Arabidopsis thaliana: one gene and its partners. The protein of the gene in region 1 interacts with the protein of each later gene in a pairwise test. Each region holds a gene or a part of one and is shown on either strand. Other genes may lie near its edges.

Region 1 (10,791 bases):
TACTTCCTTCGATTGAGTTTCGAGCGCCTGAAATCCTGATCCACGTCATCAACGATGCATCAGGATTGGGGGGCAACTGTTAGGGGTCGGATTGGGCCTACTTGGCCCAATGCCCAAACCCAAGTCAAAACCCCAAAATAAGTTCCAAGGTTCAGCTATAAAACGAATAAACTCTATTCTTCCTCGGATATCAAGATCGTTTTCCGGCCTCAAGCTCGTCTTTCATCTACAATCGGCTCGTTCTTTTTCCATTTATGCTTGTTGAAGAAATCATCCTTTGTAATCCGTCCAATTCGCCTAAGTCGCGGGCTCGTCATTAATAGAAAGATTCTTCTTCCTTCCCTAGAGATCCCATTTTCGTACTTGTGTGATTCGTGCATCAACAGTTCCATGTTTTGATTGACGATTTCCATGTTTTGCTTACCGATTTGCATCTATAGATGCTTCTCAAAGACAATCTCGCTAGAATCTCCGTCAATATAGCCTCCGGGAGATGTATTGGTCTTTCCATTCGGACTTTGGGATTAGGGTTTCTAGGATTAGGGTCTGGAGAAAGATCATATATAATACAAAACGTAACATCTAAGTTAAGATTCCTAATTCAAAGACTCGGTTAAGTCTAACCGGAACATGAAACACAATTTAGCAACTTCCAAGAAGAGAGAATATAAATGGGAAAAAATGAAATTTCATTCACTCATGAGACATGAGCAGATTTCGTTTTTTTACAGGGAAAATGTAAAGTAAACTAACAGAAGACACAACACACTAGTACCTTGAATCAAGAACATGTTTCTCCCGAAACAGAACATGAACTTGACAAAGGAGAACACATTCAGAGGAACCAAACTCTATTGGAACCTACAAAACATAAAAAAAAAAAAAAACATTGTTCCTAAATAGAAGAAAGATCTTCGTAAATGGTCTTAATACCAGGTCTCTCAGAAACTGATCTTATACACCTCAAAGCAATCCCAAGAACTTCTTTCATGCCTTTTTCTGTTACCGGATCACTTCCCATCTCCTGAGTCAATACCGAATCAAAGCATTCTGCACCACGCCCTTCTGCAACACGTAACCTAACCCAATCGGTTAGATCAACACCTTCTTGCTCACCTGTGATTACATCTCCTGCACATCTTCCGGTTAGGATCTCAAGAAGTATCACACCAAACGCATATACATCTGATTTGAAAGAAGGTAATGGTTTTCTTGAAGCTGCTAGCTCGGGAGCTCGGTAACCGAGGATTCCTGCGTCTAGAATCTGTTCGACTGTGCCTGCTTGTGTCATGAGACGGTGGAGGCAGTAATCTGCCACACGCGCGTTTAGCTCTGCTCCATCTAAGAGAATGTTTGTTGCCTTGAGGTTACCGTGTGGAACAGCTCTGTCGAAATGGAGGTAGTTTAGACCACGTGCCACATCAACTGCGATTTTCAACCGTTGGGTCCAGGCTAAGGGAGGGCCTTTCCTGCCCGGTCGATCTGTCATCAAACAAGAACCGTAAGCTTGATGAAAAATACTGCACATACATATAATACTTAGAGAAGTTTATTGAAAGGAGCATTACCGTAAAGGAAGCTGGCAAGGCTTCCAGGCGATATATAATCTGAAAGAATAAGCTTCTCGTGTTGCGTTGGACCCCAATAGTACCCTCGGAGAGTCACAACATTAGGATGTCTAATGTTAGAAAATTTCTTCACCTCTTTAGCAAACTCCTTTCTCTGCTTTGCCACTCCTTCTCTTAGCCATTTCACTGTTAGAAACACTCCATTATCCAGCGTTGCCCTGTAAGAAGTGCCGTGGCTACTTCTTCCCAGAACTTCAGCTGGTGCCCTTGATAATTCCTCTGGAGTCAACTTAATTGAATCATCCAGAAAATGCAGCTCTCCCACAAGTCTATCTGGTGACCTCACATCAAGCCGTGCTAGTTGCTGATCAGCTGGGAATGAATCTCCTGAGCCAGGTGACCAAGACAAATTGCTGGTCTTAGAAGGAGAGAAGCCGGTTGCAACAGCTAGTTTTTCATCTGGACTGAGGATTTCGGATGATGAGCCTTTTCTTGAAGCAACCAGATCCTCAGCAGAGACAACCATACCACCTCCGCTGCCTGAGGGGATAGTTTGAGCCCGCCTATTAGTTTCTTTACCAGTAATACTACGTTCTTCGCGCCTTCTTGATTTGCAGATGCAGAAAAGGAGGATAGCCACAAGGATGAGAATAATTAGAGCAACAGCGCAAGAAACTATTATGACAACCTTAACAAGTTTGTTCGTGGATTTATTCTTGGAAGCTTCTGATGCACTTGATCCAGGGGACCCAGCAGGCAAGACGAGCTTGCTGTTTCCAGGATAAAAGGAAGGCGGAGGGAAGTTCTTCAGATTCTCTGGCACAGTCCCTGATAGATCATTATATGACACGTTGAAGGCCATAATGTTGCTAGATAAGTTGCTTGGGAGTGGTCCAGTGAAATGATTCTGGGATACGTCTAATGAGCTTAGAGAGACAATGTCATTCATGGAGCTAGGCAAAGAGCCAGACAAATTATTTGCTGCGAGATTCAGCACTTGAAGATTGGTTAAAGACCCGAATACACCAGGAAGATCCCCGTCAAACCGGTTGTGAGAAAGATCAAGAAGACGGATTCTGGAACCAGAAGAAGGCAGGGGTCCGATGTTACCTGTCATGCCATTGTTTTGAAGGTGGATTTCCTCCAAAGTGGGCATGGATAGTAACGCACCTGGAATTGGCCCTTCTAAGCTGTTAGAACTTATATCAAGTACCCGAAGCTTCGGATAGTGAGTTGGAATCCGTTCTGGAAGTGAGCCTGTGAGCTTATTGTAGGAAAGATTAAGATGATTTGCTCGCAGAAGCTGGGGAGTTGCGTCTGGGAACGACCCAGTGAAATGGTTCTGGCTTAGATCAAGGTACTCTATATTCTCCCATTTTGACCATCTTGTCAGATTTCCTTCAAACTGGTTGTTTGAGAGATCGAGTAAAACACATCCCCCAGTCAAGAGAGGAAGCTCCCCGGTCAGTGAATTTGAAGAAAGATCAAGGGTGTGAAGAGTAGTTGACATGATAGAACTTACTGGCCCTGAAACACAAAAGGAAAACCAATAAAAAAATATTAGATTTCTAGTTTTCTTGGTGCCACCGTTAACATATAACAATTTCCACTATGTAGAAGATAAAGCCAAGAGCATACCTGAGAGATTGTTGCCACTTAAATCCAGCGTTGTTAAAAGCAAAGAGTCACCTTTTAACAAATTATTGGGAAGGGAACCTGAGAATCTGTTGTTGCTAAGCTTGAGAACTTCAAGATCATAGACATAATTGAAACCTGGTAATTCTCCAGATAACATGTTGTAGCTAAGATCCAAGACTTTTAAGTTCTGAAACAACTGAAACCCACTAGTCAATGAACCTTCAAGCTGATTATGGCTGAGATTCAAGTGCTTGATACTCTCAGAAACACCAGGTAACAGTTTCCCAGACGTCGTCACCAATCTGTTTCCACTGATATCGACATAGCTCGCATTCGTTAAAAGGAAAAACTCCCCATCAAGATTACCATCAATTGAATTACCATGCAAATCAAGCACTTCAAGACTTGAAATCAACTCAAAGCCCCTTGGCATTTTCCCCGTGAATCCATTAGAAGACAGATTCAAGTACAGCAGATCGTTCAGCCTTGTCAAGGACTTTGGCAAAGGTCCAGATAAGGAGTTGCTACTCATATCCAACGACTGAAGTGAAATCAAACCACCCATAGACTCTGGAATCTCACCAGAAAAGTTGTTACCAGATAAAGAAAGATTCCTCAAGCTTACTGATCTACCAATCTCTTTAGGCAATGAAGAAGAGAACAGATTATCTGATAAATCCAGGAACTGGAGGCTTTTGAAACTGCCTAAATCATTTGGCAACACACCAGAAAGGGAATTGTTTGACATAGATAGCTTGACAAGCTTTGTCAAGTTGGAGAACAGACTGAAATCAGCATCAGCAGTCAAACCCAAATTATCCAAAACAACACCAGCCACATTACCGCCATTGCAGACAATACCATTCCATGAAGAAGGACAACCATTGAAGTCAATAGACTCATCGTTCCATGAATTAAGGACAAACCCTGTAGGGTCATGTTTGATGCCTTTCTTGAATTCAAGCAATGCCATGATGTCCTGTGATGGAAGTTGCCCCATTGCAGATAGAAAAAACATGGAGAGTAACAAAATCCTAGAAAGATTCATCCTTCCTTGACTTCAAATCTTTTCCCCCAAAAAGCTACAGTTTTTGAAGAATCCCAACAACTTTTCCAGCTCACCAACGCAGAAAATTCATGGAACCCCAAGTAAATCTGACATAAAACATAATGAAATAAGACAAAACCCATCAATGTTACCAAAAAAAAGTTTAAATCTTTCTGCAAAAATCAACAATACCAGAAATTTCACTCTGATAAAAAAAAAAACAGAAGCTAAAGAAAGAAACTTTACCTAAGATGAACAAATCTTCTGAGAAACCCCAATCAAACAAAATGCAGTAATGCTACTGAGTGAGAAGAGACAATCTTCACTCAAAGGGAATCAGCTGAAAAAAACATTAAATGAACAAATGGGCTATTCAATATTTGGGTCCCATTCCGAGATCTAACCTAACTCCAAAGCAAAGAGATAAATGAAAAGTGAGGATTTTTAAACTTACGGGGATGAAAAAAGCTTCTCACTGCAAGAACAATGTCGACAGAGTTGAAGAAGAAGGAAGACAAAAACTTTAAAGCAGAATCATTTTGTTCATTAGCTCATGAACTGCACGGGGTTTTGGATTAAGCTCAACAGTGTTGTAGACTGAGTCACTGAGCTAACTGAGGGAAATCTTTGTGGGTCACTTTAAAAATTAAAAACCCTTAAAAGATTGTCACTGTTTAAGAACAAAAGAAAGAAGCCAAAACAAAATTAAAGATAGAGAAAATGTTTTGCTAGTTTTCACGTTCGACAGTGACGAACGACAAGGACCTTGTAAAAGGGTAAGTCTTGAAGCGTGTGAACGGACACCAAATCAAAAACCCTAAATAAAAAGTAAAATAGCAAGAAATTATTTTCATGGGTTCACGAGAAGAAAATTATATATTAATTTACTTTTTCATAGTCTTTTCAGTGAGGAAAGATTTAAAATATAGTTTAATTACCCGCCTGGAATGGCCCGGGAAAGGAATCCAAAAAAAATGAAAAAAGCTACTTACACTAATGTTTTTAGTGAGTGTGACCATGGTGGACGTGAAAGGGTTTATCCAATATGGTTATGAGTCTATGTCCTTGCCTTTAGTGAGAGAGATTTACAGCATTGGGAAAATAAGCGAAAATTGCGCAGTGTTCTAATAAATTTTGGTAGAAACTTGCAATAAATGAATTTACATAAATAAATAATAGGGAAAATAAAAAGAGTAATGAGAGTTCGGAGTGAATGTTATTTACACCAAAATACAGATATTAAAAGCTTGCAAGGAAAATGTGTAGTAAATGAAACATGATTTTTTGAACAATCCAGAAAAAATAGTAATGAATATTCGGACAAATAAATATTTTTGAAGTTGATACCACATTAATTAGTAGGAAAATGTAGAAGCGAAATAAATACCGCGTAGGAAAATGGGTCCCACATGCTGACTACGTTGACTAGGGAAGACCGGAAGAGACAAGGGCATCAGACCAATTATTTGGGTTCTACTGATAATGTTGAAAGTAAATGTCCGGGTTCAGAATAAATTAATAGTTAAGGGGTCATAATTCAAAAAACAAAAATCTGAGTGTTTTGATGAGATTACACACTTACGTCTAAAACTCACTCTCATTTGCTAATTGTTAACTTGCTCTGAGTTTGAAGAAATTCATCAATGGCGATTCGCAGAGCGCAAACTCTACTTTGTCTTTCTAAATTCAAAACCAATTTCGTGTCTGGGTCGCTCCACCGGTTCTCTTCTTCGTCTCAAAATTCAAATCAATTCCAGGTTCTGCTTTTTAAATTGTCTTCATGATCAGAAAACATAATCTCTTTTCCTCATAAGTCACCTAGAATTTTATTGAAACGTTCTAAAACATGATCCTTAAGGTAGTTGGAATAAAAGATCTTAACTTTTGTAATCTCGAGCATAGTTAATAAGAATTTTAGTGGCCAAATTGCTTATTGATCTTGACCACTTATCTAAATTCATCAGTTCTGCAAAAAAAGTTGTCTGGATTAGATTTTTAACAGCAAAATTTGTCTGATTCAGTACCCAAAATTTATGTAAATGAAGTCTCATTTTTGCTGTTTTGTCAGAATGTTGGTTTCATAGGACTTGGAAATATGGGATTCAGAATGGTGAATAATCTAATTAGAGCTGGATATAAAGTTACCGTTCATGACATGTAATGTACTTTGAGTGCGTTTTGCTGCCTATCAATTTTCATATTTGGTTAATGTTGATTCCTTTGATTAACTTTCTTGTGCATATACTTGTGTTTGAATTTTCAGAAACCGTGATGTTATGAAAATGTTCACTGAAATGGGAGTCTCTTCTAGAGAAACTCCTTATGAAGTTGCACAAGATAGCGAAGTTGTGATTACAATGTTGCCTTCATCATCTCATGTAAGTTATTTACCTTTAGCAATAGTTTTATATGAAAACAGTTTGAAAGATCGTCCTGTTAGCTGTATGATTAGCTGCACCTAGTCTACGAGATAGTATTGTTGTTTACTCCTGGTACTGAAAGAATGTTAATCTTCAATTGATTGGATGATTTTTATGAAGGAAAAAAAATTGTGATTGATGTAGGTGATGGATGTGTACACAGGAACAAATGGGTTGCTTCTTGGAGAAAATGATATAAGACCTGCTTTGTTTATAGATTCATCCACTATTGATCCACAAACAACTCGAAAAATCTCACTTGCTGTTTCTAATTGTAATTTGAAAGAAAAGAGAGGTAAAGCTTAGATAGGATTTGGAAGGAAGTTAGTTTCTTCTTATGAGTTAACAACAGCTTCATTTTGTTCTTCTTGTGAACAAGTCGAGATTGTTTCATTTTCACTAGTTTCAAGCATCTTTGATGTAGATAATTGGGAAAAGCCAGTCATGTTGGATGCTCCCGTCTCTGGAGGTGTTCTTGCTGCAGAAGCTGGTACACTTACTTTCATGGTATGTTGACGACTCTCTTATCTTCTACATTATTTGAATCACATCCTTTATATAACATCAAGTTTGAAGATTATGTGTGCTTGTATACCTACAAGAGCACAATGGCATTGATACAACTGCACGTTCTGTAGGTTGGAGGTCCCGAAGATGCTTACTTAGCCGCTAGACCAATACTTCAGTCAATGGGCAGAACCTCCATCTACTGTGGTGGTTCAGGAAATGGATCTGTAAGTTCGCTTTATACCATGTTTCCGTAACTCTGTTACAGTATCTCTATTATCTTGATCTTTGGTATATTTGTCTCTACAATTCTTAAGGATAATAGACTGAGAAACGACATGTTTTGTTTTAAACTTAGGCCGCAAAGATTTGTAACAATCTGGCAATGGCCGTGAGTATGCTCGGCACTTCAGAAGCCTTAGCTCTTGGTCAGTCACTTGGAATATCTGCCAGTACTTTAACAGAAGTCTTAAACACATCTAGTGGCCGTTGTTGGAGCAGGTAAGTAAATGAAATGACCTCTTCAAATTTATAATCGTCTTCTCATCAAGAGCAAGCACACCAAATTCTTAACTTCCTTTCCTTATATTATGATAACCGCAGTGACGCATACAATCCAGTTCCAGGAGTGATGAAAGGTGTGCCATCTTCAAGGGATTACAATGGCGGTTTCGCCTCCAAACTTATGGTCAGTTTCTTAAGAAATCTCTATATCATTGATCCTGTAAAATGTCTCTAAAGCACATTTCTTTTGTTACACAAGTCTTTCATGTATATAGTGTATTGGAAATGCAGGCTAAAGACCTAAACCTCGCAGCAGCCTCAGCTGAAGAAGTTGGACACAAAAGCCCATTGATATCCAAAGCACAAGAAATGTGAGTACTTCAGTAGTCTTTTCTCCTAGAAGCTCTATTCCTTATGAGTTGTTGTGAACAAAGAAGGCTTGTGAATGAAACTTTATGGAAACAACGTAGAAATTTCTTATGAAGCAAAAAGCACACACATCAAGCTGAAGATTTTGTTTTTTTGTTTTTGCAGTTACAAGAAGATGTGCGAGGAAGGACATGAAACGAAGGACTTCTCTTGTGTTTTCAGACACTTTTACAATGGGAAAGATGAGGTCTGAGACAATCTTAACAACGACCCTGCAAAATAACCGGTTTCTTTGTGCATTTAGATTGTTGATTTTCATTGCTAAGAATAATAAAAGTCTTGGAAAGGCTGTGATGTTAATAAGCGATGTGAATTGTAATTAGTTTGAGAACATCTCTCTGGTGTTGAACATTACTCTTGGAATCACCAATCAATTAGTTATGAGGTCAGCGAAGAATAAAGCATGAAGGATCCTATAGAGAGGATTAAACAAAGCTCAGAGTCAAAGTTCTAAACTTTTCTTTTACCCGGAAAAAAGTCAACAACAATTCAAACAATAGTCACCTATGGTGTAATTACATTTCTTAACAGTGTTACTCGCTAACCAATCCGTAAATATACCATTTTCCTTATCTATATTCGTATTTAATTTGATTATTAATCATTCTTGGCTATTTACCTAAAGTTAATGAAGATTCACCTTCGTCACCAATGAGAGAACCAAACCATTTTTGCAGAATCTCCGGTACAATTACGGAAACAGTTGTTTGTGTTAATATCTACAATGTGAAATGACTACAACCACCCTCGCTTTCTTCAGCACACCGCTACATTTGAAATCTCCCAACTTTTTTCATTCTCTCTGTTGCTCAAACTAGTTTCCCTCAACACTCAAAGGTACGTCTTTGATCCTTCTTCTTGTGTTTCGCTTCGTTACTTATGGGTTCTTTCTGAAATTCGACTTCATCACACCATCATTTCTGTTTATGACAATTCGTTCCTCGTAATGTTACTTCAACCTCTACCTGTTTTTCTGCTTCATTCGCGCGAAAAATCGTTGCTTTTGACTCATGTTCCTCTGTTTCATCTTACTGTTGTCTGTCTTAAAACCTGAAGTCTCCGAATTTAGGTCATCATCTTGTATCTCTTTCAAAAACCCTAGTTTTTTGGGGTTCTGTGCAGTGAGCAGCCGTACAGTTTGCACTGAAGTTACCATCTTTCATGATCTTTGAAGTATCTATATGAATCATAGATAGTTCTTTTGTTTGTCTCAGTGTAGAAAGAAGCCTCAGTGAGTTTGTAATGGCGGGTGAGGAGAAGCAGACTCTTACTCCAAAGGAGATGATACTTCAGAAGTTTGGTGTTAAAGCAATTTACAGAATTGAGGAAGTTCATGTTTCTTCGAATGATTGCCTCTATCGTTGCCACTTGCAGCTACCAGAATTTTCTGTTGTATCAAATGTCTTCAAGAGAAAAAAGGATTCCGAACAATCTGCTGCTGAATTGGCTCTCGAGAAGGTATACTTTTGACACATCTCTCTGCTCTTATTGTTTAGTAGACTTCTTAACACTGTTTATGTGAAAAAGTACAATACTATTCATGTTGCAGCTAGGAATTCAGTCTCAGGATGATGATGATGTTGATATAACTGTGGATGAAGCTTGGAATAATATCGTTGAACGCATTAAGTATATATTTTCTGATGAGGTTAGTACAGGTCATAAGCAAGTCCATAGTCCAAAAGTTAATTTGGTTTTTCTCTCTATTGGCATTAACGTTTAAGTTGTTGCCATTGCAGTTTCTTTCAGTTGATCATCCTCTAGGAGGTCACCTAAGGGCGGCATTGCAAAGGGATGGCGAACGTTGCGGATCACTTCCTGTTTCTGTCATTGCTACATTTGATGCAAAGATTAACAGTCGCTGTAAAGTGATTGATCCTTCTGTAGAATCAGATCCTATCTTGCTCATGTCCTATGTCATGAAGGCTGCTGCAAAGTTGCCGGACTACATTGTTGTATCTCCGCATGTCGATTCACTCCGAAGGAAAAAACCGTATCCTCCAGCAACTATTAAAGCACTGGCTACTACTCATGTGAAAAGCATAAAAGCTGAGGCTGTGCATTTACAATGTACCGTTGGCGGTGAAGAGGTTGTTAAGCCAGTCACTCTTGATATTTCATCAGGTCGGTATTACTTGGATATTATTGCTGACAAGCTTGGATTGAAGGATGGCAGCCAAGTGATGATATCAAGGTGAGTATTTTGTCTTCTCTGTCAATAAATGGAGCTTTCTCAGTTTTAATCTTACTAAAGCTAATTTTGGATTTTCATCAGGACTATTGGCAAAACTTCCTCTGGCTATGAGTGTAGAGTATATGCTGCCATTCCTAAGTTGAAGTCTTCCGATAATTCATGGAAAGCCCGTGAAAAACGTCCAATCATTGAATCATCACATCTTGAAAAGTCTCGGAATGCAAAAGCAAGTTTTGTTTGTGGTGTAGATATTCACGGTGATGCGATCGTGGCATCTGTTGGTTACCCATGGAGGTCCCATGATCTTGAACATGATGGTGTAACCTTAAAGTCGTTTTACAAGTCTCTTACCTCTACCAACTTTTGCTCCGTTTTATGTTTTGTTTTTCCTTTGTATATCTTTTGGTCTAGTGCTGAAGCACTAAATATCTCACCAGTTTTTTGGCCTCTGTAGGATATGTTGCGGTATTTCTCCTAATGGAA
Region 2 (10,791 bases), on another chromosome or scaffold:
GGAAACAGTTAACTAAAACCACTCCCGCCAAGTTTTGAAACGTTGTACATATATATAGGAGTGAAAATATTACTTTCAGAAACATGGGGTGGGATATATATAAGATATAAAAATGTAAGGGGTTACTTTACAAATAAAATAGAATAGAAACAAAACGTAGACGTTTAGAGCGGTCCTCGTCAACTACGACAACATTAGAGATCGATCGTCGTCGTCGTACCCGTCAGACTCAAGGAAAAAGAAAAAAAGAGATTCCGCCGCACGTTGTTCTAATCGAAAAAAGCGACTCTCAATAAATCTGTCTTCCCTTTTCTTTCTTAAACTGGAAGAAGATTAATCAATCAGACACAACAGAGATAACTGATTTATCCACTTCAAACAATACAAACCTTTAAAGTCTTCACCTTTATAGAGAGAACTTTTAATGGTGTGGTTGACGAATCAACAGATAGGGAGATGGAAAAGGAAACGAATTTTGGTTGTGGGATCGTTCCTCTGTTGGTCAATCATCATGTTCATCACTCCCAAAGTTCCTCTCGATTCATTTCGCCATCATATCTTCGCCGATAAACGCAATTTCATGGGTATCATCATCATATCACACTCTCTCTTCTTTTTTTTTTATCTCTCTCTGTCTCTGTGCATGTGTAATAACGAGAGACAGGTGTTTTGTGTGGGTTTGATGATGAACAGGAGTGCCTAATACATTGAATGTGATGACCAACTTTCCCTTTCTTATCGTTGGAGTTCTTGGTTTTGTTCTTTGCATTGGAGGAAGCTTCTTCAACATAAGGTATCATTCTCTTTCCCTTTTTTGAGTTTTATTTTGAGTTAGTTTAACAATTTGAGTTGTTGTAATGCAGTTTAAATGGTGAGATCTGGGGATGGACACTGTTCTACGCAGGCATTGCAAGCTTGGCTTTTGGTTCTGCTTTTTATCATCTCAAACCTGATGACAACAGAATCGTCTGGGACACTTTGCCTGTTCGTTTTTCTCACTTTACTTTTCTTCGGAACATGAATCTTCTTTCAGTTATGCATTCATTGCTTCTTGATTAGTGATGCGGTAATTGTATATATTGACAAGCACATTGTGAATACAAAAAGTTGAAGAATCATCTTATAGCTATGTAAAAAAGCTTAGATTAGACTTCATGGTTTTTCTTGGATTGGTTGGTTCTACAAGCACATAGTGAAGTGAACACAACTCTTATAGCTAATGGAAAGAAGCTTTAGAGATTTTTCGGGTGTAGAGTTGTGGTTTTTGGTTTTATTGAATGGAAAGTTGTTTTTGCTCATCATTTTTGATGGTTGGTTTATGAATAGCTGTTTGTTGATTAATGACGGTAAATTGCAGATATTGATTGCGTATTCGTCGCTTTTCTCTAGTTTTTTGGTTGAGAGAGCGGGGGAGAAAGTGGGACTTAGTTGCCTCATCTTGCTTCTATTTATATCATGTCTCAGTGTTGCTTACGCCAGGTAACATTAAAACCAAGAAAGCATTACCTCCTCTGTATACATATATGTTCATGGTTTTAGTCAGGTTTCGGATTGAAATTATATGTGTCTTAGTTGATGGCAGAGTGTTTAATGATCTCCGGTTATGCATGACGTTCCAGTTGATACCGTGTCTGGTGATTCCCGTCATGGCGGTTTTGTTACCTCCCAAATATACACACTCTAGATTCTGGCTCTGGGCAACAGGTTTTTAACTCAAAACCACATTTGCGGTTTTCTTATTAGAATCCACGGTCTTCTGATATCTGCTTATCATGAATGCAGCGGCGTACACTATTGCCAAGATTGAAGGACTTGCAGACAACAAAATATACAATGCAAATCGATATATCATCAGTGGGCATTCACTGGAGCATTTGTGTTCTGCCGTGGCTACGCTTTTACTTACCATTATGCTTTTGTATAGAAGCATTCGGTTTAATAGGTAACGTTTTTTCACTGACTCTTTCTCTTTGATCTTTGAGTTCCTTGAAACCTGAGAGGATTTTTCACTTTTCTTTTGTATGATGGAAACTAAAACAGATTAGGTGATCTCAAAGGCCGTCCTTGACATTCATTACTGACTCCTCAAGTTTTTTTTCTCTTGTATTTAGATGCTTCTGGATTCTTGTATTACAAATTTTGTTTGGTTGCTAGATAGATTTTGACCCATGATCCCACTAAAACATCGTTAGCTTGGTGTAATCTTGGTTTCTGGTTCTGAAACAGCTTTGGCTTTAAGGTTACTTATTCAAGTCTTATATATGTGTTTGGACAATGGACAATTTTACATGTAGTAACTAAAAAGAAACCAAAAGAATAATCATAACTCACAAATACACCTTTTATTTTCGGTCTTGACTTGTGACCTGTTTCTTATTCATATGATCACTTTATTGAGGACTTTAAATCATAGCACAGAATGTGGAAAAATCCAAGACAGCAATAGCATTATAGAAACGTAATCATACAATTCATCTAAAATAGCAACAATGATGAGTAAATCTCGGAGTTCATAGTCCTTCAAAGAAACGTAAATGGTCATCGAATGTCTCAGCATGCCTGATCTTAGTGATCGACCCATCTTCTTCAACCTGCAAAAAGAAGAATATAAATCAATCACTTTCTCTCAGGATCTTGACCCTCCGCTAAATTTCCGCAGAAAACGATAATAAGAAACAGTATTGTTACCCAGTATTCCGGGGGACGCATCTTGAGATTGTAAGTGGAAGCCATACTCATACAGTATGCACCAGCGTCATGAACCACCAGACCAGCTCCCTGTAACGTATACAAGAAACTAATTAGATTCCATATTACTTGAGCTGCCAAACATAATCAGATCCTTATAATACCTGTGGAGGAGTGGGAAGCTCTCTGTCTTTGCCCAAGAAATCAGCAGATTCACAAACAGGACCCACTACATCGAATTTGGTAACCTCTGCTTCAGGCGGTGTAGGAGAGACCAACTCAATATGCTTTTGCGTTAAAAAACAAAAACAAGAGGATGTTTAGCTATAGTTCAAAGGGACTAGAATCTGCAGATGCTGTTGTGAAAAGTATATTTGTTTTACCTGATAGGCATCATAAAGACTGGGACGGATAAGCTCAGCCATACTTCCATCAATCACTATGAAGTTTTTAGTTCCATTCGTCTTCACACCAGTTACATGGTTGACGAAACAACATGTGTTTGCAATCAGTGATCTCCCTGGCTCGATTATTAGATTCAGGTCTCGTGAAAGAACCAGCTCTCTTACCTATGAAACACATCCAGGATTCTAAAGATTCTACCATTCCAGTACTTTTGAGATCAAGATAAAGAAAAGAGTTTTGAGCTGTTGTTCTTACGGTGTTGATAAGATCCATGGGTGTAGGAAGGACAGCGCCGGCATGATAATAATCTATCCCTAAACCACCACCAATGTTCAAGTAGCTAACCTCAAAGCCTTGACGCCGGATTTCATCAATGTATTCAATCATGAGAACCGCAGCATCTCTGAATATATCCACCTGAAATAAACAGAACATACGTGAATATGCAAAGCTCAAGACTCAAGAGTTAAAATTTAAGAGATTGATTACATTAAAACACAAATTAAAAGGAACTATAGTCGGAGTTACCTTTGTAATGGTAGAACCAAGATGACAATGAGCTCCAACAAGCTTCAGCTCTTTGGGATGTGCCTTCACTTCATCCAGAAACCATTGAAGCTTCTCGTTCCTAATACCAAACTTCGAGTTCTTGTTCCCAGTAGCTACATATGGATGCACCTAAAATGGTAACAAACAGAAAAAGCTCATTCATATCCAAGCTAAAGAATAGATTCTAGGACATGCTGCTAAAAGATTGAAAATTTAACCATACCTGAGGATCAACATCAGGATTGATACGCAACAACACATTGACCTGCTTACCAGAAATTCTTGAAGCTTCCACAATGTTATTCAAGTCAAACTCACTATCAACATTTACGAAAACACCTTCTTGAGCAGCTAGAACTAAATCTTCCAAAGACTTTCCATTTCCATTGAAAATACACCTATTCATTTCATCCACACCGAAGACATGGTCAAAAACTACACATCAACATGAGACCAAATAAAAAAATATTCAAACTTTATTATTGGGGATAAAGAATCGTACTTTGTGGGATCGAAACCAGCAAGAAGAGCAAGCCTGAGCTCATTTCCACTAACCAACACAGCACCACAGCCCAAACTCCTCAAATGCTCCAAAATCTTGAGATTGTTATTAGCTTTAATAGCGTAACCAATAACAGATCTCACTCCTTCCAAAGCCTCTTTATAAGCCTCAAGGTTTCTCGTGATCTGAGGTTTGCTATATAAGTAAAAGGGTCGTTTCTCGACTGTTTCCATGATATCTTGAACCTTGGTTCCTTCGCAATAGAGAAACCCATCTGATGATTTCTTGAAACAGTGGTCGAAAGAGGAAGCAGATTCTTTCGTGAGGGTTTTGGTGGAGTTTTGGGAAACGGCGGCTTTGACGGAGAGGCGTTTAAGTGGCTTCAATGTTGACTTGAGAGACAAAAATGGGATTCTTGAGAGTGAAGTCTGATTCAATTGGTACTGATTTAGGGTTCCGCGGATTGATGAAGGTTGGGAGAGAAATTGAGTAACTGCCGCCATGGCTGGAGGATTTTTGTTAGGTGTGCGACTGTTACAGTAACACTGAAGGGTTTAGAAAAAAAAAGTCAACAAGTTTAAGAGTAGTTCCTGTCGGGTCCGGTTTTAGATATCCGACAATATCGAACCGGTGGTTATAGTCGAACCGATGGTTAAAAGAAGAAAGAACAAAGTCGATTTTAACTTCTTTTGGATATGGTTTTTGTCCTTGGGGGATAGTTTCTGCTAGTGTTTGTTTTGTTCGGTTGTGTTAGTTGTGTGTTGTAATAATCTTGATGCTTAAGGGGTCACCTAAAGCAGTCATGGAAATCTAGCCCTATCTATAAAAATTTGCCATTTCTCATCACCTACCAATACTTCTATTTGTTCGTATTATGCGGATATTCAGAGGATAATGTAAAACATTTTGTTGAATGCTAACGATGAAGTGCTCTATCTAGCCGTGCACGTTGTGGAGAAGTTATGTTTTAGAATCCACATTTGTTGAAGTTATGCTTATCATACTCTCTTAATTATCTATATCTATTACAAAGAGCAAGGAATGTTCTTAGTTAGGATTTGTTTTGTTTGGCAACCATTGCTTCTGGTTATTTGTGCTCTGCCTCCTTTGTAAGTTAGGATTTGTTTTATTCTTACAACTTTGCTTCTCTCGTCATACTATATAATCTCTGACTATGTATGTAATTGCATTCATGTCGATGGTTGTGGGATGTATATTTAGGTGTTTGACTGTAAGACGTTAAAAACAAACTTTACCATAAGTTATTGGGATGTCTAGACACTTTTATGGTTTGGTGAAGTAGGCTCAATGTTTTGCCCTTTATGTTTCCATTGTTGATGTTTATGTACCTTGCTGGTTGGAACCACTTGTGGATGTTTCCGACAATGCTTCTCTGTAATGCAGTTATCTTTTAATGAAATGTGATCGATCTTGAGTGTTATTTATTTTTATTTTTTTAAAGACTTTATGGTGTGGACACTTGACCGGGTGATAATTGGTAACTATACTACATAGTTAGAGAGCTCTTGAATTATTAATCACGCTAAATCTTGGGAATTGAGAGCTCGGAAGCAAAGGTTATTAACAAAATTCAAAGCAGAGCAGCATTGCCGATGAAATAATTATTGACTTGGGATTTACTCTCTGAAGTCTGAACCAAATCGAGATTATTCTAATTATATTTTTAATTTCGGATCCCTAATCTATTAATACTCCAATATCTGCACTCATTTAATTATTTCCTCTTTTTTTAACCTGCACTGACTTAAATTCAAACTTATTTCAATTGCGTGCACACTTTAGTGAACTACTACCACTATCACTATATGTGTCGGTGGATTATTATTTCCGTCATTTTGATATTTAATTACATCTTTAATTGTTACTCTTTTTTGCCCATTCTTCTTCTTCATTTGATTACATTATACTCTATTGTGAATTACTAAATTCTGAAAACAAGAAAAATTTGAGTACACAGGACACATCTTAGTATTACTCGTTACTAAAATACTACACGTGTAAATAATTTTTTCAGAAATAAATGGGGCCACTTTGTAAGTAATAAATCAGCTTACATTAATTATTTTACCACCCAATAAAAAGATTCCACAGACTTGGCATGGAAGTCATGAACATTCACAAAAATCTAAGAAAAACTGAAAACCGAAAAAAAAACAAATTATTAAAAAGCAATAAATAAATAAACTCAGAAAAAAAAGCTATTAAGATTCCACAAAAACTCTGTATTGTCTCTTTCTCTCTCACTATCTCTCTCTCTTTTGTGAGCTCAGATCTGACCAGAGAGAAAGAAACAACCGGAGAAGAAGAAGATGACTGACCGAGTCTTCCCAGCTTCCAAACCACCAACCGCCACTAATGGAGCTCCACCAGTTGGTTCCATACCACCTCCTCCAGCTCCGGCGACTGTAACCAGCAACGGAACAACAAACGGAATGGCTAATCAGAAACCTCAAGTCTACATTCCAGCTAACCGTCCGGTTTACCGTCCACAGCCTTACAGTCGCCGTCATCACCACCAATCTCGACCAAGCTGCCGACGAATTTGCTGTTGTTGCTGTTTCTGGTCGATTCTGATAATTCTGATCTTAGCTCTCATGACTGCAATCGCCGCCACCGCGATGTACGTGATCTACCACCCTCGTCCGCCGTCGTTCTCCGTCCCGTCAATAAGAATCAGCCGCGTGAACCTAACAACCTCCTCTGATTCCTCCGTCTCTCATCTCTCTTCCTTCTTCAACTTCACTCTAATCTCAGAGAATCCAAACCAACACCTCTCTTTCTCTTACGATCCTTTCACCGTCACCGTTAATTCAGCTAAATCCGGTACGATGCTCGGTAACGGAACTGTTCCTGCTTTCTTCAGCGATAACGGTAACAAAACTTCGTTTCACGGCGTGATCGCTACGTCTACAGCGGCGCGTGAGTTAGATCCGGATGAAGCTAAGCATCTGAGATCAGATCTGACGCGCGCGCGTGTAGGATATGAGATCGAGATGAGAACTAAAGTGAAGATGATAATGGGGAAGCTGAAGAGTGAAGGAGTAGAGATCAAAGTGACATGTGAAGGATTTGAAGGAACTATACCAAAAGGTAAAACTCCAATTGTAGCTACTTCTAAAAAAACTAAGTGTAAGTCTGATCTTAGTGTCAAGGTCTGGAAATGGAGTTTCTAGAGGGAATTTTGATAATTTCACAATTGAAATTTTCTATATAATCTTCTTCTTTTTTTCTTCTGGATTTTGTGAAACTTTTGGAATGATCCAAAAGGAGATTTCTTCAGTTGTTAGTTAAAAAATTTCAGAGAAGAGTCAGAGAGATAAGGTATTGTCAAGTAGAAGAAGGCCAGAGAATTCACGGCTTCTAAAAAAATTTCTTGGATTTTTGTTTTGTTTGGAACTTTCTTACTTGAATTTATATTTAATGGATACAGAAATATAAATGTAATACTTGTAACGAATGGAGTACTAAAAAGCTGGAGATTGCAGTGACTGCGTGATAGTGAGCATTAAAGTGAGATCGTAGTAGTAATAAACAGAACCTTAAAAATGGAAAAGATGCGTGGGGTTTGTGAGGAGAACAATGAAGAACACGAGAGATGTGTTAAATGTTAGATGTTGAACCATCTATCGCATTATACAACACCATTTAAGAGAAACGTGAATCGTCTTTAGTACTCTATAAAGCAAGCATATATTCTAGCAGTTGCATGTTATAAAATTAATACAGATCGATCACTCAATTCATGAATATGGTTTGATATAAACATTAAATTAAATGTCATGCTGTCATAAAAGATGAATTATATGGTTCATTTATCTAAGAAACTTTTTATTAACTAAGTAAGTAAAAGTTTGAAGAGGTCATTTGCAAGTGACTCCGACCAGGGATAGACTCCTGAAATCTTATCCAACTATGGACGACGACTTCATGTCGGTGTGTCCAAAAATGAGGAAAAGGAATCTGCCCAAGGGACAAATGGCATTACCCGAAACGGCAAAGAAGAACCGCAGGAAAAAAAGTTGACAATAACGTATGAGGTGTGACTGAAAAAGAAAAACTTGTAGTTTGGTTTATGACGTAAATGAATAATTTGGAAATGACAATAAGTCATCATATCTAATTTAGTGCATGACCTCCAACGTCGGCATATATTTGAGTCGGTGACCGGATATCCAGTACAAAGTAAAGTACAAACCAAAAAGAAAGACAAGACAATAAAATGGGTAAAGAAGACTTGCATACACGGACGTGATAGAAGAAGACATGCATAGTATAATTCTGACTTTCTGAGACCTTTAATGAAAATATTTGGCAATGTATTTCAAGAATAACTATGGCATATCTCTTAGATTTTGTGAAAATAGCCCATAATCGAAGAAGATGATAGTAAAAAACCGAGGCCCAAATAGAACCCATTTACCCAAAATATCAAAAAGATTAGTCGTTTGGCAATGAAATTAGAAGCCCAACACATGTCCTAAGCCTTTTTCACTTTTCTTCACTGTTTGGTTTTCCGACATCATTAACTTCGCGGGGGCAAGCGACTAACAGAAGAAAAAAAGCGACTAACAGAAGAAAAAAACGAAAAGGATTATTCCGCCGTAGAATCCATATTCTCTCCCTCATCACTTTGATAAACAAGAGTCTCATTTTTCGCTTTTCCAAAGGGAACAACTTCTTCGGATTATTATCTATGGCAGAGAAGCTTGAGCCGGTGAAGGTTTTGTACTGCGGAGTTTGCTCTCTTCCAGCGGAATACTGCGAATTCGGTCCCGATTTCGCTAGATGTAAGCCCTGGCTCGTCGAAAACGCCCCAGATCTCTATCCTGATCTCCTCAAAGGTACCTTCAAACCCTAATCTTATAATTTTCGACCGTTCTTCAGAACTCGTTTGATTTTAGGTTTGTAGTGCCTCAAATTTTTTATTCTTCCAAGGGCTAAGCGATTCACACAATCGAAAAGATGAAGATTTTTGTTTTAACTTGAATTATAAATTTATGGGTCTGTTCAATTTGGTGATTATGTTATGTTGGATTGTCAATGCTGTTGTGTAGAGTTTTACGATTTTTTGGTACCCTTTACACTTCTGTTTTACTGGTTATGACAATGAGTTTAATTTGATTTAAGACTTACTAATATTTGAGTTTGCATACGAATTTTAAATTTGTCCAGAAGCAAATGAGAAGGCAGCAGATAATGTTTCTGACAAACTCCAGTCGGTGGGAATCTCTTCAGGTGGTGCTGATGGGGCACCATCTTCAGCTCAGACTGGTAAGGAACCGTGTCTATGTGTGTGCTTTTTCTTGTTCATACTATTGCATACACGTATTTGGTACTGTACATCGCTATGAAAAATTCCAAACTGAATGGCTGGAAACATCTTTAATGTATTTGTTTTTCTGGGGAATCTGCAATCGAACTGTTAAGCATGAACGATAAATATTGCTAGAGTCACTGATTGGTGATGATGCCTATGTTGAAAGGATTTGGCTTTTAGTTGAATTTCTACTCAGTAATCAAAGGATCTTCCAATATATAGGAGGGACATCCAAGAAGGAGGAAGTGAAGCGCCTACCTGGGGGGAAAGTTAAAAAGAAAGTAAGTAATATCGTGTAAATTTCGTCCCACCTTACTGGAATGTCTTAATGCATTACCAAGTTTCCATGGAAACGTACAAAACAACATGCTTGGACATTCCCTGACTCACATATCTACGTTTTGCTTTCTGGTTTCCATTCCTTCGTCTTTGACGTGGACATGTTTGTCCGGTTGTCTAATTTTCTAATGTTTATGGATGCTATATAGGATCGACAGGAAGTTATCATTGAAAAGGTTGTACGCAACAAACGCAAGTGTATCACCATTGTGAAAGGACTAGAACTGTTTGGTGAGTTATTTACTTCTTTGGTGATATATCTTAGTATTCTTATTGCCTGGAACAAACCTCATTCATTTTTAACCCTTGCAATTTGTTCGTCAGGGATAAAACTCAGTGATGCCTCTAAAAAGCTTGGTAAGAAGTTTGCCACTGGAGCATCAGTTGTCAAGGTATGTATGTAGAGGATGAATCAAAAAGCAAATATGTATACGAGATAGTTTTATGCTTAGACAGATTAGTGGTATTCGGTTTTGTTCTAGCTGATATTGTTGAGCAGAGCTCATGGTTCTTTAGAGTTTGTAACTGCTTTAGACCTGTTGTGGCTCTAATTTCAAAATTTGGTGTCCAGAGAAAAGTATGAAATATTCGTCCCTAGATACATGACTTTTAACCCCTTAGTTTGTTTTACCTCTCTCTTCCTCTTATGCTGAGATTTTTCTAATTTATTGTGTTTCAGGGACCAACTGAAAAGGAGCAAATTGATGTTCAAGGGGATATAATCTATGATATCGTTGAATTCATTACAGACACTTGGCCCGACGTAACATGACTTCTCCTTTTCTAATTTGTTCTTGGTTCTCACTGCATTCGTTTGAAAACTTATGATTGTTACTTTGCCAATTTCTAGGTACCTGAAAGATCCATTTTCTTCATCGAAGATGGGAAGAAGGTTCAGGCTGGTTGATGATCACCTTTGTCCTCGTTTTTTGGCATGGCGGGTTCATGTAGACGAGCTAGTTCCTGAGTT
Region 3 (10,791 bases), on another chromosome or scaffold:
AATTTCCACTGCCTCGTGAACAATTTGATAAACTTTCTCCAATGGAAGCTGCTTCTGCAGCAAACTGCACAATGTATGATAAGGAGTGAATGGATAATAGAGATGGCTCAATAAACACAGTATGGCTTGCTGTTACCATACAGACCTATTCTTACCTGTACAAGAGACACGCAAAGTCACAGTGGAGCCCCTCGTCTCTCGATATAAGCTCGTTTGAGAAGGTCAAACCCGGCATAAGACCCCTCTTCTTTAGCCAGAAGATGGCACAGAAGCTGACCAAACCACATGAAATTCTTATACACCAGAGCTTATATAGGATAAGTTCTCAATGCCTATGATTTCAAAGACGTCATACCTTCCTGAGAAGAAGATTCCTTCGACACATGCAAAAGCGACCAGCCTCACAGCAAACGACATAGGACTGCAGAGAATGGTTGGTTTACAGACAGATAACAAATTAGGATTATCTTTTACAATTAATCACATGAAATTGTTTCTTCAACCAGAAAATTAAACACAACAACAATTAGTTACCTTTGAATCCAATCTAAACACCATTTTGCCTTCTTGGATATACAAGGAATGGTCTCGATAGCATTGAACAATCTATCCTTCTCCTTCGAGTCCTTTATGAATGTCTCCAGAAGTAAGCTGTACATCTCTGATATTTGTCATAAGAAAATATGTCATAAATCAGTTTCTTACAAGATAATGACCCAGGTCATATTCCTATCTAAGGATATTCCGTTAAATCTTTAAACAACCAAACCCTATCAAACTCCTCTAGGGTACTGGTTACAAGTCTTATACCTTGGTCTACAGATATTTATGTTCATTCACCATGACCAAAGTTAAACTTTTTTGTTTTCTTCTTCTCACTATGACTACATGGAAGGTAAACAGCAACATATTATCCATTAAGAGGATCGTTTTCATCTTTCCCTAATGAATATTTCCACTAGCAAAAGCCTTACCTGAATGAATGTTCTCCATGGCTATTTGAAACCCATAGAAAGCACGAGCCTGAAACATCCAGAGAATTGACTATCTCAAATCAAACAGCAAGTGTCGACTTCAAGATATTACATTGCCACAGCATATCAAGTCAGACAACAGTACTAAAAAATCATTTAAAGCCACAGTTTTTTCAATATTCCGCAAAGTGAAAATCCTCACCTCTGGAACTTGGACATCATTCAAGAATCTAGCAGCCAAATTCTCCAAAACAATACCATCTGACGCTGCGAAAAACGCCAGAATATGGCTGATAAAGTGTTTCTCTGAATCCGTCAAGGCCTCCCACTGTTGCACATCAGTGGAAAGATCAACCTCTTCAGCTACAATTAATTCAAAGAAGTCAAAACACACAATTGATGATAATATAAGACAGAAACAGAACTATCACACACATGAAACATTCTCTGAACCAGAATCAGAATTACAAGTAGAAAAACATCTTCTTTTCCACAAACCACAATCAAAATGGAACATCTATATTACATTAAAATCCTAAACAACGAAAAGAAGAAGCTTTACATTTACAAAGTCACAAACTTTCTTAATCAAAACTGTATCCACCACAACTCCGAGAATAGTTCAAACTCAAGAAGAACAGAGAACATAAGAAAATTTCAAGGAAAGAAAGAGGACTAACCAGTCCAGAAACTGGCTTCAGCCTTCTTATACATCTCCCAAATAGATTTGTACCTAATGGGGAACATAGTGAATCTCTGGTTCTGAGCCATCAAAAGCGGCTCTTCTGATTCACCTTCTTCCATGTCTCTTCCTTGACCTTCCTTAAGCGAACCCATTATCTCGAATTCGTCTCTTAATTTTGAGGTTTTTTTTGATGTGGAGAGAAACAGAGGATTAGATAGATAAGGAAAAAGAAAATGAAAACCCTAAACAAAAACCCTTGGAAACCGACAAGGAACCAACAAAAGAAGTGTTTTTGTTTTGTCTGTTTGGGTGGCGCACGCAAAACGATTCCTCGTGATCTTCCGACGTGATTTTCAAGGCAACACCTTGTGGAAGGAAGAAAAAATATCTGACCACATAAATTGTGAATTAAACAAAAAAAAGTTAAAGATAATTAGAGGAAGCCACATAAATAATTTGTCAAAAGAGTTTTTGTTTGTTATGATAAAATTGATAATTGAATTAGAATAATCTTTGATTGTTGGGTTTTGTTTTTTACTCTGCATAAGTGCATAGAATCATTCAATCATTCAAGGTAAGGTATTACCCCATTTAGCAAATTTATTCTAAGAAAAATTAACATTGCAAAAGTTAGTTTTTATTTAACGCACGTGAGTTTTTTTAGGTGGAAGAGTAGATACGCACACGTAGTGTAGATAACTGGTGTGAAAGGTCAAAGGTGGTTTGGTGGCTTTACTTTTTAAAACAGAGGTCCCAAAGCGCGAGAGAGGAGTCGTCTTGTTTTTTGGTTCGGCGAAAACAAGAATGTCAGGTCATCAGTGCACCGAGAACCCGCCTGATCTGGATCCAACTAGCGGGTCGGGTCATGTCGAGAAACTCGGTAACCTTGACACCTACGTCTGTGGTTCCACTCATTCAAAGCTTGCTGTTCTTCTTGTCCCTCATGTTTTCGGTAAAAAAACCTTTTTACCTGTCCCAATTACGTTTGATGTTCTTTCTGAATTTGTTGGTTTGATTTGAGAATCTAAAACGTTTTCTTCTGCAGGATATGAAACTCCAAACCTGAGGTGCTGTAACAGAGAATCCCTACTGAATCAGCTTGTCTTTTGTTGATTGTTAGACAGTCTTTTACTTCAGATTCTTTGTTATAATGAGTTATAGTTTATATCACCTTTTATAGTCACTCGAAAGATGTTTCATTCTTGCTGTAACTTGTCATGGATATTGTTCTTCCCTTGATAGGAAACTTGCTGACAAGGTTGCAGAAGCTGGATTCTACGCGGTGGTTCCTGATTTCTTCCATGGAGATCCTTATAATCCCGAGAACCAGGATCGTCCGTTTCCTATTTGGATGAAAGATCATGAACTAGTTAGTTTCTTTTCCTTATTAAATGTTCAATCCTCAATTTTTCTCAAAAACATAAATGAGTCTTTGTTTCCCAGCATGAAATAGTCCAAGTATCCCAATAATCCCTTATTATTAGTGCCAAAATGCTATCACTACTTATTGTTGATTGCAAAGCTAAGATTAAGTCAGTGTTTTTGTACTGTTCTGTGTCAATGTATCTGAAACCAGACTATGGATTTTGTAGGAGAAAGGGTTTGAGGAGTCAAAGCCAATAGTGGAGGCCTTGAAGAACAAAGGCATAACTAGTATAGGAGCAGCAGGGTTCTGTTGGGGTGGTGAGTTCGGTTTTCTTGTTCCCATCATCACCACAGTTTTATGAAAATGTTTTCCATGATCTGTATAATAAGTCAACCATGTATATTAGTTAACACAAGACTTTTTGTTTCTTATTCTTTAGCAAAAGTTGCGGTGGAACTAGCTAAGGAAAAGCTTGTTGACGCTACTGTTTTGTTACATCCTGCTCGCGTTACGGTGGATGATATCAAGGGTATTTAGATCTTTGATATGGCCACTCCTTACTTGATAGTTCTCTCTCATTTGTTGTGATTATGACTCTCACTATATGATTGAAGCAGAGGTCAACCTTCCAATTGCTGTATTAGGAGCTGAAATCGATCAAGTGTCTCCTCCAGAACTTGTGAGGCAGTTCGAAGATATTTTAGCTTCTAAACCTCAGGTACTTTGCTTAGCTCTATGTCTTTATGCAAGGTAATATTTTCATTACTTACAAAAACACAACTAGTAGTTGATGTGTTTTTGGAAGTAGATATCTTCTTCAAGTAGATAATTGTGAGCAAAGTGATATGTTTCAGGTGAAGAGTTTTGTGAAGATATTCCCAAGATGCAAACACGGTTGGACTGTTAGATACAATGAAAATGATCCATCAGAAGTTGAAGCTGCAATGGAAGCTCACAAGGACATGCTCGCTTGGCTCATCGACTATCTCAAGTGAGAACTTGAAACGGTCTAAGCTTTGGTTTGCACATAACCAGCGGAGACCCAAAATCATGTCTAGTACTCTTTAAATAATAAATGTAACTAGTAGTATCTTCTTTAATTTATGTTGCTTTGTCATGTTTGTGGCTAGTGTTCTCTGTTTCGTTTCAGTCTGAGAAACATCAGTTTGAGTTAAACTTAAGACGTTCTAGAAATATCTTAATGTTCCTTTGGACCTTAAGCCTATTTATGTTGTTGATATTGAAATAAAGACATCCCCAAATTCAGCTATATAAATCTTTCTAAATTGATTTTTCTCTATGACTAATGAATTAGCTCTACTTTAAAATTCATCTGCATTACGATTTTTTTTGTTTTTTGAAAAATCGACCTCTTAGTAAATCATAAAACCTTGACAAAATTAGCAATTCTCAACTAATGTTTAACAGATAGTTGTTAGTTTCACCAGCTTCTGTTTAATTATTAATTTGATGATTAAAAATAATTTTTTTTTCTAAATATGGATTCTTGTATTGATATTTCAGATAATTATCTGTCTTTGTTGGTTCTAGTTGATAAGTAACCATGGTTCAGAAAAAAACAAGAAGATGAGTAACCATGAATCTGACTAGAATTGGATCCTAGTACTGGAGATGAGCTGTAGAATCAGATAAAAATTGTAAACAAACTCTCTTCCAAAAAAACAGAATCAGATCAATGAAATAAACGAGGCATGTTTGTGAGATGGAAACTTCTTCAATCTTATGGCATCAGAGTCCTCGATTTCACGAATCAGATACAAACATAAATATTTGCTCAGAGGGTACCATATCTGAACTCTGAGTTTGAGTATGGAAAACGTTCTTAAATCTAAAAGTTCTCCTATAGATTTGGTAACTAGGTGACGACGTCTTTACGATACTCTCTCTAAATGTGACTATACAACTAATGAAAACTTGTAAAAAAAAAAAAAAACTCAAATACAAATTTTCATTAGTTTTACTTTTGTATTTTAATACCAATCCTATGCATGTCTTGAAACAGGTGAATTGTTGTAATATAGAAATATTTCTTAATTGATGAAGTTTTGTTATTCACAATTTTAACGATAAGTTAAGTCCAATGTTCAAAGTTTCCTGAGGTGGTAATCGGGTGGTCATGACTCATGAGCTGCCTGATTATAGTACATTGCAAATTTAATTGGTTGACTTTTTAAGTCATCATTTTGTTTTAAGATTATTGATTCTGATCCAAAAATAATTAGTCTGAGGATGTAATAAATTGAATCTTTTTTGGCATAATTAAAAAATGTATTTATATTGCATTATAATGTGGCAGTAAATGGCAGAGAGGCCTCTTGTGTTGGTATTTAATATCCTGTTTCTGCGTACATCTCTTATTTAATTCCTCACCTTGCCAAATCACAATTCTCCTCTTCAAGTCTTAACCAAACCCAAAGTCCTTCAACAAGAAAATCCAATGGCTGATCCGGCAACGAGTTCTCCGTTGTTGGATGACCATGTAGGTGGAGAAGATGAAAGAGGAAGGAGATCAAGATCATCAACTTTGGTTCAAAAAGTGATCGACGTGGAAGAAGCAAAAGCTCAAATGATTTACTCTTTGCCAATGATACTCACCAATGTTTTCTACTACTGTATTCCTATAACTTCTGTGATGTTTGCTTCTCACCTCGGTCAACTCGAGCTCGCCGGTGCCACCCTTGCCAATTCTTGGGCCACCGTCTCCGGTTTTGCCTTCATGGTACCATTATTTCCTTATTTCTTTAGCTTTTGTAATTTAAAATCTTGTTTTGATGTCTACTTGCAAAAGTTACTAAAACCCACTTATTTCCATCTCAATAATAGACTCGAACTCGAATTCAAGAATCAAGATTGTTTAAAATGATTTATTCGACATAAATGACTAGTAGATGATTTTAGGAGTTGTCTAAATTTTTATTAACGACATCTTCAAGAACATTTGGCCAACGGTATATATGTATAAGTGCTTGTTTATGACATACATTAATGTCTCTTTGTTTTCAGGTAGGGTTAAGTGGATCACTTGAGACATTATGTGGACAAGGCTTTGGTGCAAAAAGATACAGGATGTTGGGAGTTCATCTACAATCATCTTGCATCGTTTCATTAGTTTTCAGCATCCTCATCACCATCTTCTGGTTCTTCACAGAATCGATTTTTGGACTTCTCAGACAAGATCCTAGCATTTCAAAACAAGCTGCACTCTATATGAAGTACCAAGCTCCCGGTTTACTAGCTTACGGGTTTTTACAAAATATTTTGAGATTTTGCCAAACACAATCGATCATTGCTCCACTAGTCATCTTCTCGTTTGTTCCCTTGGTGATAAACATTGCTACCGCATATGTTCTTGTTTATGTAGCTGGGCTTGGATTCATTGGTGCTCCAATAGCTACATCTATTTCATTGTGGATAGCTTTCCTTTCGCTTGGAACTTATGTGATGTGTTCAGAAAAGTTTAAGGAAACATGGACTGGATTTTCGTTGGAATCATTCCGTTATATCGTAATAAACTTGACATTAAGCCTCCCTTCTGCTGCTATGGTATGGTAAGTATATATGTTTCTTGACCGTTATATCTAGCCTAGTGGTTTATATTAGTCAATGTAATCATACCCGGGGTCAAAACCAAATAGTACATGTTGACAAAAAGAAAAAAAAATATCATTAGGCTTGTTGAAGCTTAAGAGACTATATTGTTGCAACAGTTTGGAATATTGGGCATTCGAGATTCTTGTGTTCTTGGCAGGAGTGATGCCAAACCCGGAAATCAATACTTCTTTGGTCGCTATATGGTAAAAAATATATATTTTTAATATCACTTTTTTGGTAGTTAATGTTTTTTTTATCTATTATATCAAATTTCTCAATGTGTGTTATGTTAAATAAATTCAGCGTCAACACGGAGGCGATTAGCTACATGTTAACATACGGACTTAGTGCAGCTGCAAGGTTTGCTCATTTTACTAGATAGTTTCAAAATACTTTGTATTCCATCTTGCTGAAAAATATTGTTTCGGAAATGTAAAAATCGAAAATAAATATTGCAGTACGCGTGTGTCCAATGAACTTGGAGCAGGAAATGTAAAAGGCGCAAAGAAGGCGACCTCTGTGTCCGTAAAGTTGTCTTTAGTTCTTGCTCTCGGCGTTGTAATTGTTTTACTCGTAGGTCATGATGGTTGGGTTGGGTTATTTAGCGATAGCTATGTGATTAAAGAGGAGTTTGCATCATTGAGGTTTTTTCTTGCTGCCTCTATAACTCTTGATTCAATCCAAGGAGTTTTATCAGGTAAAAGATCCAATATATATTTTTTTTTTTTACTCATCTAGGGTGGTAAAAATCATTGTTAAATTTATTTACAGGAGTTGCAAGAGGATGCGGATGGCAGCGTTTAGTCACGGTTATAAATTTGGCGACATTCTACTTAATTGGAATGCCGATTGCCGCCTTTTGTGGTTTCAAGTTGAAGTTTTATGCCAAGGTATTGCTTGATTCTATAATAAGATTAGTAAATTTTGTTTGATTATGTTATGTTTGATTCATTATTTTGATGGCGACAGGGTTTGTGGATTGGTTTGATATGTGGAATATTTTGCCAATCATCATCTCTTTTGCTTATGACAATATTCCGGAAGTGGACAAAGCTGAATGTTGCTACGGTCTGAAAACTCTAGTTACGTTCCATTTTTCTACGGAGGCACATTTATTTTCTTAAGCAGATATGGAATCAGTTATCAAGATATATATTTGGAACTCATGATCATTTTCCAAACGCTTAGTTAAGATTTATCTTTCTTAGTTTTCTTTTTATTCTTTTGGAGTGTAAGGGAAATAATCTGGTTCACAAAGTTGGTCATGGCTTGAATATTACAGCATCATTCTAAGCTATCTTTGAAACCAACTTCTTCTTAGTTGCGTTCTTCAATTTACTAGACTAGTTTCGTTATCGTCAGCAAGAAACTTTTCTCATTTTCTATTTCTTTAATTCCTCGTCGTTTTACTATTTTTGGCGATTTTTTTGGCATATTGTGCTAAAATCAGAAATTTTGATGCTTTCTATGTAAACTTATTTCTCTTGCTTAGTTACACACGTCTGGTCTGGTGTCTCCATATTATCCTGTTTGCTTTCTGGCAATGAGCTAGCTTAAATATGAGATCTTTGTCCACACGTTTTCTCAAAATAATAGCTTTTCTGGCCATTAATTTTGATAGAATCTATCTCGTCTCTTCGAAATAATGATTTTCTATCTATCTCGATAGGATTGAATCTTCATTTAAACCATCAATTAGTAGAATGCTCAGACAACTTTCTGGCCAGATTAGTCAGACAACGTGTGTTTGGACTCTCCTATCATGTTAAGTTTCATGGGATTCCAACTCAAAACCAATTGGTAATTAATGAATTATCCAATGTCTTTTATATACTACTCAAATCTTCTCTCATCTTTATGATGTGTGATCATTCTCCACAAGATTAAGTTTGATCATACAGTTCATTTAGGCTTTTCCATGTCCTAAAGGAGGTTATGGCCGTTATGAATTTACTTAACACAAATCTAATAAGTTTTCCATTATTTAGCCATGAGGCGATGCTAGGATGATTAGTAAGCCTATTACATAATCTTATTTTCAGATAGAGTTTAACATAATTAGGTGATTGACTTGAATAGAATCTACGAATGCCATCAATTGATTTACTTGACACTGTTTCCATAGAAGTTTAACATAAAACAGTGTCATGAAACTTAAGTAGTTGTTATTTGGTGGGCTAAGGAATAGAATCTAGGATTGTGCTTAATTAAACCTCGTTATGTCACATGGTTCGATCTCATCTATTGTTTTGCTATGTTGAACTTTCGTGATACAAATCTTTCTAATTTTGAACTGAACTTCAATTCCTAATTAAACTCGTTTTTTTGTGTTTCATTTATTCGTTAATGTTAGTCGTCTTTTGTGTTTCATTTATTCGGTCATGTTAGTCTTTCCCTAATATAGTGTAAATTCCTAGTTTAACAATAGTTTCACTATAGCACAATGGTTAAATTCATCTTGATTGATAACTTTCCTAAATTTGAAATCCACAAACCAAATTCATTGCCTATCAAAAGAATTCGTCTCTCATATTCGATCTGTGGCATAAGAAAACTTTTTTAAAAAGAAATATGTAATTATTTGTGTAAAAATATATACAGTGTAAATTCATTGCTTATCAAAAACATCCGTTGTAGTACAAGGGTTTAATTCATCTTGATTGCTGTTTCTCTAGTTTAATCGATTGATCGCTTTCTAGGTTTGAATCCTGGCAGCGGAAACTTTTTTAATTTATCTGTTGTTATTTGTGTAAATATATATACAGTGTAAATTCATTGCTTATCAAAAGATCCGCTGTAACACAAGGATTTAATTTATCTCGATTGTTGTTTCTCCGGTTTAATTGATTGATGGCTTTCCGGATTTGAAAAGTTTCCGGGATCGAATTTCGGCACTAGAAAACTTTTTTTAGTTTTTTTTTGTAATTATGGGTTTCAATAGATAGATATACAATATATAGTTTAAATTCATAATTTATAATTCTCCCCTTACAAAAGATTAAAATTTGGATTACATTTGAGAATAAAGGGGAGAAGCAACATAGCATGTAGCGGAATGGATCAAGCTAAAAGACGTTTAAGGGAGAACACAAGTTTATGAGACTCCTAGATCTCACATCGTTCACCCTGACCCACATCGACCTTGTGATGGTCCCATGCAAGAAAATGGCAAATCACACGTCGATTCTTACATCGGGCAGAGGTAGATCAAAGCGGGAAAGTTGAAGAATCATGCAAGTATCAGATTGGCCTCCACATCGACATAGGCAATGTCATCCCACAAATTTTGAAGTGCCAGCATGGTTTAAACTTGTTTTTGAGGATTTTTAATATAAGTTTGAGTTTTCTCTAATTTGTATAGAGACTCAAGAGCCTTGTTCTACATTTCGTTAATGAAGATGTCATATTTTCATCAAACTAGTGAAGATTTTCTCATCTTGATACATCTCTTCTCTTAAATTATGTTTATGCCTCCATTTACCTTTGCTTTTTTGCTTCTTTAGTTCAGTCTTGTTATCAAAGTTTTGAAGATTAAACTAGCTAGGATTAATAATGAATACATCAATGATGTTGATTATGGGAGAATCTTGCTAGATTCTTTAGTCAAAAGAATTGGAGTTCTTAGACTCTCATAGGAAGGGAAGATCTTCCCCACCATTCCTTACACGCAACGTGAGTTATCTAGAATTTAGCTTCTACCTGCTCTTGAGTCTTAGCAAGTCAAAGATTAGTAGCAGCAGTGCAGCACACTATTAACAATTACATCAACCATCAGCGTCAGAAGACAATTTAACCAGACTAATATTCTCTAAAATGTTAGCCGTTTATTTTGAATTTTTTGATGGCCGGAAACTAACTCTTTACTACTTGATGGTAGTAGGGTTGGCTTACTTGGTGGGAGCTACAATGGTTCCGCAGCCGGCCCCAACTCTTGAACTCTAGGAGTTTTTTTTGTTCTTCCATTATATTGTTTTCTTTCTTTTTTTTCGAAAAAAACTCTTCCATTATAATGTCGGTTTTTTTTTTATTTGGATAATGGCACAACCATATCATTACTGTAAACCAATCCGGTAAAAAAAAAATAGAATTTAAACAATTATAAATAAAATTTGGTAATGGTAGGATCAGCCATTATGGTCATCTTTGGACGTGGG

What was found.
Region 2: the proteins of GHR1 (region 1) and EMB3135 interact in a protein complementation assay, tested with the Arabidopsis thaliana proteins (one large-scale study listed by BioGRID).
Region 3: the proteins of GHR1 (region 1) and ALF5 interact in a protein complementation assay, tested with the Arabidopsis thaliana proteins (one large-scale study listed by BioGRID).

Annotation. Positions count from the first base shown.
Region 1 is NC_003075.7:11,196,143-11,206,933, reverse strand, and holds GHR1 (Leucine-rich receptor-like protein kinase family protein), read right to left. Parts: upstream 4,207-10,791; coding exon 3,207-4,206; intron 3,096-3,206; coding exon 1,569-3,095; intron 1,483-1,568; coding exon 896-1,482; 3' UTR 654-895; downstream 1-653. Other genes in the region: AT4G20930 (6-phosphogluconate dehydrogenase family protein), read left to right, coding at 5,898-6,011, 6,323-6,411, 6,518-6,632, 6,819-6,969, 7,099-7,181, 7,313-7,408, 7,540-7,682, 7,785-7,869 and 2 more; AT4G20920 (double-stranded RNA-binding domain (DsRBD)-containing protein), read left to right, coding at 9,357-9,572, 9,664-9,762, 9,854-10,308, 10,390-10,650, 10,763-10,791. UniProt on the Arabidopsis thaliana protein: Receptor kinase acting as an early component in abscisic acid (ABA) signaling.
Region 2 is NC_003076.8:3,825,296-3,836,086, forward strand, and holds EMB3135 (harpin-induced protein), read left to right. Parts: upstream 1-6,204; 5' UTR 6,205-6,474; coding exon 6,475-7,338; 3' UTR 7,339-7,856; downstream 7,857-10,791. Other genes in the region: AT5G11870 (Alkaline phytoceramidase (aPHC)), read left to right, coding at 425-584, 694-793, 864-984, 1,358-1,479, 1,583-1,704, 1,783-1,942, 2,041-2,068; AT5G11880 (Pyridoxal-dependent decarboxylase family protein), read right to left, coding at 2,511-2,591, 2,689-2,778, 2,853-2,975, 3,072-3,257, 3,349-3,510, 3,622-3,771, 3,866-4,040, 4,145-4,647; AT5G11900 (Translation initiation factor SUI1 family protein), read left to right, coding at 8,859-9,006, 9,338-9,436, 9,705-9,763, 9,971-10,052, 10,146-10,213, 10,501-10,584, 10,672-10,728.
Region 3 is NC_003074.8:8,451,281-8,462,071, reverse strand, and holds ALF5 (MATE efflux family protein), read left to right. Parts: upstream 1-5,363; 5' UTR 5,364-5,483; coding exon 5,484-5,765; intron 5,766-6,049; coding exon 6,050-6,594; intron 6,595-6,753; coding exon 6,754-6,840; intron 6,841-6,940; coding exon 6,941-6,997; intron 6,998-7,095; coding exon 7,096-7,334; coding exon of another isoform or gene 7,335-7,375; exon of another isoform or gene 7,376-7,408; coding exon 7,409-7,527; intron 7,528-7,606; coding exon 7,607-7,711; 3' UTR 7,712-8,169; downstream 8,170-10,791. Other genes in the region: RNR2A (ribonucleotide reductase 2A), read right to left, coding at 1-64, 156-272, 356-421, 535-661, 975-1,023, 1,177-1,337, 1,655-1,811; AT3G23570 (alpha/beta-Hydrolases superfamily protein), read left to right, coding at 2,464-2,611, 2,705-2,726, 2,902-3,028, 3,252-3,342, 3,465-3,554, 3,643-3,743, 3,880-4,020.